3 linked regions of the Arabidopsis thaliana genome follow. The protein of the gene in region 1 interacts with the protein of each later gene in a pairwise test. Each region holds a gene or a part of one and is shown on either strand. Other genes may lie near its edges. The genes, in order: AT5G44260, ATHB13 and NST1.

The links.
Region 2: the proteins of AT5G44260 (region 1) and ATHB13 interact in a two-hybrid assay, tested with the Arabidopsis thaliana proteins (one large-scale study listed by BioGRID).
Region 3: the proteins of AT5G44260 (region 1) and NST1 interact in a two-hybrid assay, tested with the Arabidopsis thaliana proteins (one large-scale study listed by BioGRID).

The regions. Positions count from the first base shown.
Region 1 is NC_003076.8:17,829,690-17,833,450, forward strand, and holds the start of AT5G44260 (Zinc finger C-x8-C-x5-C-x3-H type family protein), read right to left. Parts: upstream 1,648-3,761; 5' UTR 1,431-1,647; coding exon 285-1,430; 3' UTR 1-284. Other genes in the region: AT5G44265 (Bifunctional inhibitor/lipid-transfer protein/seed storage 2S albumin superfamily protein), read right to left, coding at 3,090-3,096, 3,254-3,627.
Region 2 is NC_003070.9:26,256,878-26,260,638, forward strand, and holds the start of ATHB13 (Homeobox-leucine zipper protein family), read left to right. Parts: upstream 1-1,910; 5' UTR 1,911-2,288; coding exon 2,289-2,424; intron 2,425-2,505; coding exon 2,506-2,888; intron 2,889-3,222; coding exon 3,223-3,588; 3' UTR 3,589-3,761. UniProt on the Arabidopsis thaliana protein: Probable transcription factor that may act in the sucrose-signaling pathway.
Region 3 is NC_003071.7:19,221,182-19,224,942, forward strand, and holds the start of NST1 (NAC (No Apical Meristem) domain transcriptional regulator superfamily protein), read right to left. Parts: upstream 1,736-3,761; 5' UTR 1,642-1,735; coding exon 1,455-1,641; intron 1,144-1,454; coding exon 857-1,143; intron 360-856; coding exon 1-359. UniProt on the Arabidopsis thaliana protein: Transcription activator of genes involved in biosynthesis of secondary walls.

The sequences.
Region 1 (3,761 bases):
AAACATTACATAGGAATTCGATCACAATGTAGTAGATATTACAAGTTCCAAGAGATCAATATAACAATAGAAGTTATGGACTCTCTTATTTAACAAAAAATACAGTAAAAATATATTTTTAAAGCACGACATAGTACTACAGACTCTTAATTAGCTCTCGTGGAAAAAATCGTAAATACTTTTTTAATAAACAATGTACCACGACGGACCTCCGCCGCGGCGCCGCCGTATAATTATTCCCGTCGGGAAAGATCTCAAGTAGTTCACAGTTGATGTCATACTGTTCATGTCAAAAGATCGTTCACCCATCCTAGATCAAGATCGCCACTAGAACCGACTTCAAAGCTATTTTTATCCCTAGCTTGGGCCGCCGCAGCTGCAGCCACCGAGAAATCGCTTAGCCGGCCACCACGTGGTGTGAATTCATCGCCAAAGAAGCTCGACGGTGGTGGCTGAAGCTGGCCATGGAGGTAACTTGGAGTTGAAGAAGGTGAAAGAGCAAATCGTAGAGGACTACTCTGTTGTAATTGGAGATCTCTGTCTCCGACATCAAGCCACGGCGGAAGACGGTGGTGGTGGTGGTTGCTGCTTAGATTCGATGAAGCGATCATCGTCGCCGTGGAAATGGGCATGGTAACGGGAGACGATGAAGAAGCTGCAAGTGCTTCCGTGAGACTTAAGGAATCTAAAGAACTAATCAGTTCGTTTAGTACGGCGGTGCGACGGCGGCTCAGCCGTGAAAATGCATCGGCTTTATCAGCTGGAGACAAAGGCGGAGACGATGAAGGTGATCGTGATAAATTCAAGAGAGTACTCGTCGGAGAATGGGAACAAAACAAGCAACATCGATTATTTTTATTGCTTAAAACCGATGCAGGGGATGACGACGGTGATCCACCGCAACCACCGGAAATATGATTCTCCGGGGACGGTGGAAGAACTCTCAGCTGACGTGGAGAATGAGCAAAGAAACAAACTTTCCTCTTACAATGCTTACCGTCTTTACAAGCTTCCGTACGGTAACGACTCGGATGAAGCCAACACTCGAAAACCCCGTGAGCGAAACCGCATTCATCACCACGGCTACAATCACCGTGACGGCTAAACTCAGGGCATACTTCTCCGGTGTAGTGAAACCGGCGAGGGTCACGGCGACGAGCCTTTTCACCGGGATGAGAGAAAGGACAGTCGGTCCAGTCATGGCTACGGCTACGCGTGCACCGTCGGATCTTGAATTCGTACATCCGGAAATGGTCTCCAGCGTAAGGATCCTCAGAGTCAGAGTCGTAACAATAGTCTTTCTGTTCTTTATAGTCGCGAAGGGGACTTGAAACTGACGACGGAGACTTGGCGGAGGAAAGAAGCTTCCTCGGTGGAATATCCACCGTTGGTCTACTGATGTGGCCGGATTTGTGATGTTCGACGTCCATGTCTACGTGGCGAAAGATGAGAGAAAGACTTTTTATTATACTTTTGTGTATTTGTTTCCTATTTGGGTTTGAATGAGAGAGAGATAGGAAGAGATAAGTGTGGGATAAAATGATAGATGCCTAATTGTCTCTATATATATGCGTTAGTGGATACATCCATATACATGGTTTGAGATAAAAGATAATAAGACGTTGACAAAAAAATATCAAGGATGTTTTAGAATGCTAAAATTGCAGTGCTTCTATGGTGGACGTGGTTATATTCGTTTTTAGATATTTTGCTTAAGAACACAACAATTGATTTAAATTATGATTAAAAATAGTCAAAATATCAACATATGTATTGAATAACTTATTTTTTTGAAATAGATAAAATAAAATAAAAAGGAAACATATTGATATTAATTTATCCACATTTTTTTTTTGTTAAAAGGCTTTAATTTATCCACATTTTATTAATTAGTTTTAGTTCATGAGTATATTTTTAAACAGGAAATAAAATCTGAAACAATTAGTACATTATATTCATTTAAATGATTCGTATTTAAAGTATATCTTAGTGTTGATTTAAATTGACAAAAAAGAAAAAGGTATACGTATTGTAAGTTATTTAGTGGAAAAGAAATGATGATGTGTAGAGTTATAAGAAGGAGACAAAAGGGAAGAGTTCGTGGCGAAAGAATATTAAGATAGGTTCATGCAATTCAGCAGGAGCTGGCGGTTTCTTACGGATATCGAGTCATTGTTTCTGAATAATTCGATATTTTTTAAGGTAGGCATATTTACATCATTACATGCATGTATTAGCTTCATATTCTCGACCTAAAACTTAAAAGTACTAATACTATAATAATGGTCATCATGAGTCATGACTCAGTGATAACTCTAGAGTAAACTTTGCAACACAGAACGCATGTGTGATGCTATACTAAATATATATAGAAATGGCATTATCTTCGAACATTGTGATTAGTCTTAACAGGTTTGAGGTGTTAAACAAGGGTGGATCTCTTTATTGGTTACGTGGCTCGCATGGAAACGAAGATCCTTTGGTTTTTCCTTCCAATCGGTTACTCTTTTCTTAAGGACAATTGTTTTAAACACGCATAGTTATGAAGAAATAACGCATATATATGATATTTTGTTTTAAAATCGATATGTTTTATACATTTATTTTATTTTTGTTACTGCACATTTTGCTTATTTTAAAATTTATTGATTAGTTGTCCAATCCAAATTTTTTTTTATGAATAAATCATTAGCTAAAAAGTCTATTTAAAATTTTAAATAACAGATAAGACAACAAAAAGAAATTGAGAAGAAATCTTTCATTCAAGTCATCAAGTGTCCCTTCAGCATTGTATTAAAAGTGGAAATTATCTAAATCAATACTTCAAATTTGTTGGAAGTATACTAGTATAAAGATATACTTTTTTTGTAAGAAAACTGAATTCGAAATCTAACGAAAATGACACAAATATATGCTAGATTCAACTTTTAAAATGTGGCTGCCACATTCTCTAAACCAAAATAGTCAAAATCTGGAGAAAAAAAAGAACCAAACTAATATAAACAAGACCAAAATTGAATACCCATACACATAGAACCATATTTCTTGAACACCCCAAAGCAAACTGGCCCACACAACCCCTCAAGACTTTAAACCCTGCATAAAACCAAACACATGCTACATTATTAATAGTTTTGAATATACAACACAACAACATAACTAGTTTATATAAAAAAGATCATCTTAAATCAAAACCCAAACCAATCTCGAATCTTTCTCCACTTAAAGTAAAATTTAATGTTTATAAACTTACGTGGAGCAATCCATGCTAGAGGAGATAGGGAAACTGAGATGTGTGTTGCAAAGAAGAGGAAGCTGTTGGATCTTATCAGCCAACATTGGAGGCGTATAACCTCTCGTCATCATCTCAACACAATTACACAAAAGCCTCGGGTTCTCTTTTTTGTGTTTCGCAATTATGTTAAGTTTTACGATATGGACACAACATTTTTTACCGGGTTTGTAGTAATATCCCGTGAGAAAGTCTAGACAATAAGAAAAGTAATCATATGTGTATGCACAAAATGGTACGTACGAGTGAACCTGAATCATTAGCCTAGTGTAATCGGAGATCACGAGAAGCAGTAGAAGTGAAATCGCGACTAATTTAGTGGTGTGTGTATCCATTTCTAGACTTCGAATTAATTGATATACACAATGAGACCAACCTTAGACTAATTTGTACATAGTAGTTCAGTATTAGTGATCATGCTTATTTCATGAGTTTTTGTTGTTGTTGATGGTTGTGTCATCGTATACGT
Region 2 (3,761 bases), on another chromosome or scaffold:
AATTGGTCAATCAATATTACTCTACATATATACATATAGCATTACCAGTAGTCAATTGATTTCTTGTTTCGTTTTGGTATCTGTCTTGCGGTTGATAGGTTAGGTCAAAGCTAATAGGTTTGATGAGATCAGATTTGATGTACCATGATTCTCATAGACATGATCTAGAATTTCAAATACATGTTACAAGATTGTTGATCATGGACATACGTATAATCCATGCTTTTGTATATATTGTAAGTCTATTTACAGTTTCAATATAATTTTTTCGTTTAAACGCTATTTTGAGATGGTGATTGCTTTTCCATTCTATTTCAGACCAAATTTCAATTATGTTTGGACCGATCATACTTTTTAGACTTATTGAACTTTAATTTCATACAAAAATGATGAATTCTAAATAAAAACGAAGTAACAATACATATAGAGAAATTCTACACTACTATATTTTGTTAGTTTAATTTCTACTTTTTCACCTTTTTAGCGATAGACTTTAGCAGTTACCTATAAAGATTAACTATATACGTTCCATATTCTGAACTAAAAGATTAAACTAAGGTTCTGAATGAAGACCGTATTAGATAAGGTGGGTGGTGTAAGACGGACACCTAAAATAATATATTTTCTTATGAACTCTGATGTTATTCTGACTGCCTTGATCTTTCCAATTCACCCGCAATCGTTTTTATTTGAAGAATGAAAACGAACAAATTTAAAGTAACTATATATCCGACTAAAAAAAAAATCACAGTTATACTATGGTTTACAAGTGCAGCTATTATCTTCTTCTTTTGTTAAATATTTCAATCTTCCTTTTTCACATCAAAATAATCAAAACTAGCATCATAGAACATCTGAAAATCAATAATATCACTTCTCTCTTCTTCCCACAAAAAATAAAATAAAATTATGTACAATCCCTAGATCCACAGGTCTAGGTCAATCCATGTAGACACAATACGATTATTTGATGGGTCTATATATAGTCCATACGTACTAGCGTGATTAAATAGGATCAACATTGGACCCATTCACTATCCAGCTTCGTCCCTACCCCAATATCACTACATCATTATATATATGAAATTAATTTACATCAATAGAAGTATGAAAGGCGTTAGTTAGCTACTTATTACATATGTTCTCAGCCTATGCAAATGATTTAGCGAAAAATAAATTGTAAATTAAGTTCTTTAGAAATAAATTTAGATGATAAAAAGAGAGAGAGAGACACAACTTTGATAGTTATGATTTAAGATGAGAATTGGACTTACAAAAAAAAGGACAAATCTAATAAAAGAAAAAGTTATTAGATAAAATTTAAAGGACAAGTATGATGAGTGAGAGAGAACACCTCTCTGCATGTCTCTCCCAAGGGGAAAAAGAAGAGTCCTTTCTCTTCTTACCATTTTGATTATCATCTCTTCATTTTCCACTTTGTACGCAAGCTAAACCCCCTTGTAATTTGCTTCCTTTTTTCATTTTCAACAATATTTAGGATTATGCCAATTTGATATGAGTAATAACACAACGAAAACACTAAGATTACATGTTTTGGTCAATTCTACGATTTTTAATCTGCAATTACATTTATTTATTTTTTAACCCCATTTTTTTTGTTCTATCTCCAACTAAAAGTAGATATTACACCTCAATATCATATTCAAAGTTCAAACTGTGTCTTTTGTTGTGGTCTGATGCAAATTTTATTTATAGATGAATCTCAGCGCACCACACAATAATCCACTATCCTAAAGACTAAAGAGTAAGTATATACCAGGGTAAATTAAATTGGATCCCACTTTTACTTGGAAGCCAACAATGGTTAAAAAAATATCTATCTATAAACGATTGTCGAAAATGAAGATAAAATTGGAGTTAATAATTATATATACTTTGGCTTAACGTAAATGAAGTTTAAGCTTGTATTTGATCGTGTTATTTTTATTTTTTTTAACGAGAGAATCAATTGAGTGCGTCTCTTTCTCTTCTCAGCTCATATGTCCTCTCTCTCTCTCTCTCAGCCTTTCTATATAAAACGAAATAAAGAAGAAATTAAATACCAGAAGTGGTATAGTCTAGGCCGATACATTTCACTATCTCTCTCTCTTTTGTTTTTCCTCTTCTTCTTTTTTTCCATTTGATTTCAAACTCTCACACAAAGAGCTTCAGATTTATAAGACCATGATAATGGCTTTAAGACAAAGATTGGCAAGAAGAAAAAACTAAAGAGAAACGACCAAAATCTCAAGCAAACAGTACTAACTTCTGTTGCAAAACAGAAGAAGATGTCTTGTAATAATGGAATGTCTTTTTTCCCTTCAAATTTCATGATCCAAACCTCTTACGAAGATGATCATCCTCATCAATCTCCATCTCTTGCTCCTCTTCTTCCTTCTTGCTCTCTACCTCAAGATCTCCATGGTATATATACATAAACTTCCACACACATCTCCTCTGTTTTCTCTCTATCTCTTTCTAATGCTCTGTTCTGTTCTGTTTCAGGATTTGCTTCGTTTCTAGGTAAGAGATCTCCAATGGAAGGGTGTTGTGATTTAGAAACAGGGAACAATATGAATGGAGAAGAGGATTATTCAGATGATGGGTCACAAATGGGAGAGAAGAAGAGGAGATTGAACATGGAACAAGTGAAGACACTAGAGAAGAACTTTGAGCTTGGAAACAAACTTGAACCAGAGAGGAAAATGCAGCTAGCTCGTGCCTTAGGTTTGCAACCAAGACAGATCGCGATTTGGTTTCAAAATCGAAGAGCTCGTTGGAAAACAAAGCAGCTAGAGAAAGATTATGATACTCTTAAACGACAGTTTGATACACTTAAAGCTGAAAATGATCTTCTTCAAACTCATAATCAGAAACTCCAAGCTGAGGTAATTAATCTCATAAATTAACAAAAAAAATCAATATGTGTTATTTTTTTTTGGGTTAATGATCAATAATTACAGTTATTTTCCATCTAAAGGATGATTTTTTTCTTTTTAAAAAAGGTTAAAAATTATATTTCTGGTTTATAATTATTTGGATCAGGAGTTGCTTTCAGGTAGGGTTAAAAAACTGGACATGATTCATGACTTTTCAGACATCATTATCTCTTTTTTTCTTCACTCTTGTCTGGAAAGAGATCTGAAAACAATAGTTTCTTTATGCTTATCACATTGTACAGTAACTCTGTTTATGTTTAAAATTTTGTCTTTAATTACGCAGATAATGGGATTAAAAAACAGAGAACAAACAGAATCAATAAATCTAAACAAAGAAACTGAAGGATCTTGCAGTAACAGAAGTGATAACAGTTCAGATAATCTCAGACTAGATATCTCAACTGCGCCGCCATCAAACGACAGTACATTAACCGGTGGCCACCCACCGCCACCACAGACAGTTGGTCGACACTTCTTCCCACCGTCGCCAGCCACCGCAACGACAACTACTACAACAATGCAGTTCTTTCAAAACTCATCTTCAGGACAGAGTATGGTTAAAGAAGAGAATAGTATCAGTAACATGTTCTGTGCAATGGATGACCATTCTGGTTTTTGGCCATGGCTTGATCAGCAACAGTACAATTGAAATTGGTCTACCTGTTTTTTTTGTTTTTGTTTTTAAAAAAATTTATATTTTTTTTTTTTGTATTTGGAATTTTGATCAGAAGAACCCATGCATGTTTTCAAAAACTGGAATCTATATCATTAGCTCACTTTGAAATCTGCAACCAAACACCACTGAGGTTTTTTGTTTACTTT
Region 3 (3,761 bases), on another chromosome or scaffold:
CAGCTAGTAACAAAGCTAGTGTCGACCACGTTGCTGACGTGGATATTATGATTAGTGTCGGGAGAGCTTACGTGGCAGTTGTTGATTGCCTGACTGTTAGGGCTTTCGAGGTTTGGGAGTTTCATGAAAGGGTCAAGATTTAGCTCTTCTTTACAAGATCTCCCCATAAGTTCAAGAAATTGGTCGAGAGTATCCTCGTTGAAGATCTGAGATGATGTCGTCTTCGGCGTATCTCCGCCGCCGCTCAGGGAAGCTCCTCCGACGGGACTGTTTAGGGTTTTGTGAAGATTCTTCTTCTTGAAAATACGACACACCACCCATCCTTCGTCTTGTGATGCTTCCCCTATAATACTCACGACCTTAAATATTCAAAAATCAACTAAGATATATTAGCAAAGTTCATGTTTTGCACTAATCCCATTTAGGTTAAAACCAAAAAGAAAAAGAAAATTCATATTTCAGTTTCATGTGCGTCTGTATATGACAAAGGAGAAAAGAAATATTTGTGGGAAGAAGTAACTAAAACTATTATCATTAAATATTGGGAATTTAAGAAAAAAATAATAACGAAAACGAATATGTGATAGTTTTCATAATGTTATTAAAGAAAATTACGATCATACTTTGCATAAATATTGTTTTTTAAAATATATTAATTACCTTTATATATATATTAATTACATGATATTTTTTACTTGTACATCTTATCATCAGTAACAACTTTTATAATGGTCAATGAAATAATAATTAATCAAAACAAAATCGAGATTGTGATGTAAAATGAGATATTCAAAAAAGAGACCAAATCCTTTGATTGAATAACTCGTATTTAGGTTATGATGGAATTAATACATACCTCATGAACGGTGACATCCTCGGGGGAAATAATGTTGTCATCGAGTCTATATTCATGCATGATCCAATCAGATTTTTGGCCGTGAGGAGCTCGGCCTTTGTAGAAAACAAGAGTCTTTCTCATCCCAATTCTACGGCCATTGCTATATATGATCTTGTCGCGGCCAGTTGCTTTCCAAAATCCAGCCGCAGTGGCTCTGTTAGTTCTCGTTCCCGTCGGATATTTTTTGTCCTTGTGGCTAAAGAAATACCAGTCGTTTTGTGGCGTTGTTCCTATTTTACACATCTCTGCATAACGACAAAAATAATCAGAAGAAAAAAACTTAAATAGTAAATTGTATAATAACCAAACCTATGTTGGTCTTTGCAGTAACTAACTCCGAATATGAACAAACAACATCAACAACTAAGTGTAGATTCTCTGTACTCTAGTCATATTCTCGTAAAAGGATACATGAGATCACGTCATGAATCGAAAGTAGTATAGACAAGACAGCACTTTCATATATATGGAAAAATTAATAAATTCGGAAAATTGGATTATGAGAGTGTGAAAGAGAGAAAATTAATTCATAAAAAATTTCTTTATGGAAATAAACCTTGAATGTCCCAAGGCTCGAGCTTGTTGAGATCAACGTCGCGAATGACATCAAGATCGATCTCGATGCTATTAACTTTCTTCCGGAGATAATACTGCAACAGCTCTTCCTCGGTCGGATGAAACCTAAACCCAGGAGGCACTTGAGATTGTCCGTTCACTGATATGCTCATAGATTTTGACATCATCAAAGAGATTCAAGATTAACTCAAAAATCAAGCAAGAATAGAGCATGTGAGGTTTATTTAATTGTAACTATATATCATACTGAAAGTTGGAGATGAGAGAGCTAGCAGAGAATGACTCAATATATATATATATATTGTTGTATAAAAACAAGATGCATGAGGAAAACGCATGTGTCTCCTTGTACACCTTTTTTTGTTTTTCTTAATTATTAAAATTCAACTCTTATCATTAGCTTTTCCATTTGTATTCATTATTTAGTTTGAAAATTAAAATATAACCCTCCAAGAGCAATATATTAATTTCACTTGTCAATTATTAATGATTATTATTCTCTTGTTCTTTTTTCACAATTATTAGTTTCAATTTTTTTTGGCGTCTAGTTTTAAATAGTTTTGCTATTTTATTGTCATTGTAATTAGTTTAGAAATTAAAACGTGGGCCTCACTATAGTGATTTAGTTACACTTATCTTTTACAAGAACTTAAAATCATCAAATGTGACAATATCAGGCATCGTAATTATTTGTGCTAATATCAATGACATAATATCACTTGGACTATTTCAAATACGTATAATGTATGTTGTTATACATTTTTTTTAGTCTTTTCAAAGTTTAGGTTTATCTTATTCATTAATTCTTTAAACTACTAAGAACCATCGTAAACAAAATAAGTAACTTTGTGTATCTTTACATTTGCAACGAGTAAAGAATTATTGTGAAGAAAAAAAGGAAAACATAAAAAAAGTGATATATAGTTGTCGGAGAAAAAAAAGGTGATGTAGTTATCAAAAGAAAAAGAGTAGGCCCCGTAAGGCAACTAGATTGTAGGAAGCAAGCCCACATCGAACGATGACCCTTGACCTTAAAAATCTCTATAGAAAAGCTCCCTTTAAACAAATTAACAACCCACACATCGTAATAGTAATAGATTGTCTTCTTCTCTCTTTTTCTCTTCTAATTCTTGATATTTATACAAATGATATCTCTCTTTATATGCACATGCACACTGTATTTACAAAATAAAGTCGAAATAGGGTGTCTTAAAAAGTTTCCCTCCGGAAGATGTGGCTTTTTTCATCGATAAATAAACGTTTACACTACAAAAGTTTTTTTTTTTTAAACGAAAAGGTTTGATCGTTACAAAAAAACTAGTTGATGTGACAAAGAGTGTTTTTTTTTGGGATGTGACGAAAATTTATAAAAATATATTAGTAATAATGTGTATATGTTATATATGGGAAATTGTCTTCGAAAGAAAGTGGGAAATAATGCCCCAAACGGTAGATATAGTTTGGTGTTCGAGAGATGATAGAGTTGGGTAATGAGTGTTCCTGTCCCGTCTGAAATAGGATTAACAATCGATTTCACTTTTCTTAGCTAATGAAAATCTCTAGAGTTATACGTTTATTTATTTTTCAAATCTTTGCTCGATCGTTCGAGATGATTTGTAGTATGGTTAGTGCAAAACGAATGAGCCTAATTAAGGGGTGCTGTTTTTATTTTTTTAAACATTTGGTTGTTACGTTCTGTTAGAGACACTATATAAAGGTGAGACGACAGAAAGGTAACGATGACGTCAAAAACCACATAGTTTTATCATTTAGACTGTGGAATTGTATGTGTAAGTACGTGTACTTGTGTAGAAACGTAATTAAGAAAACCAAAATTAATGGAGCTAAGGAGTGTTTATGTGGTTGGAACTAAGACTTTATTTAAGATTAGTTAAGAGGCCTTTCTGCATTTGTCTAAACACAGAATCATTTTGTTGCGTTTTCGGAATTCCATGCTTTTAATCATTATTTTTTTAGTTTGATTAATGACATTGCACCCAACTTTTTTTGTGTCTTAAGTCCATGTGTTTATTGGTTGCGCTATGAAAATCCAAAGTTTCTAAGTACTATATAAAACGGGAAAACTGTAGAAATTTACAGGTCATGATTCTTTCCAGTAGCCAGTACCATGCGTTTTCTAATATATTTTGTTTGATAAAAGTTGTTTCTATTTTAAACGTAACTTTTGATTATTAAATACGGAGATAAATAGATAAACTAGTACTCAGAAAGATATATTACTTGAAGAATACATTTTTTTTAGAAATTATGTATGTGTGATTTTTTT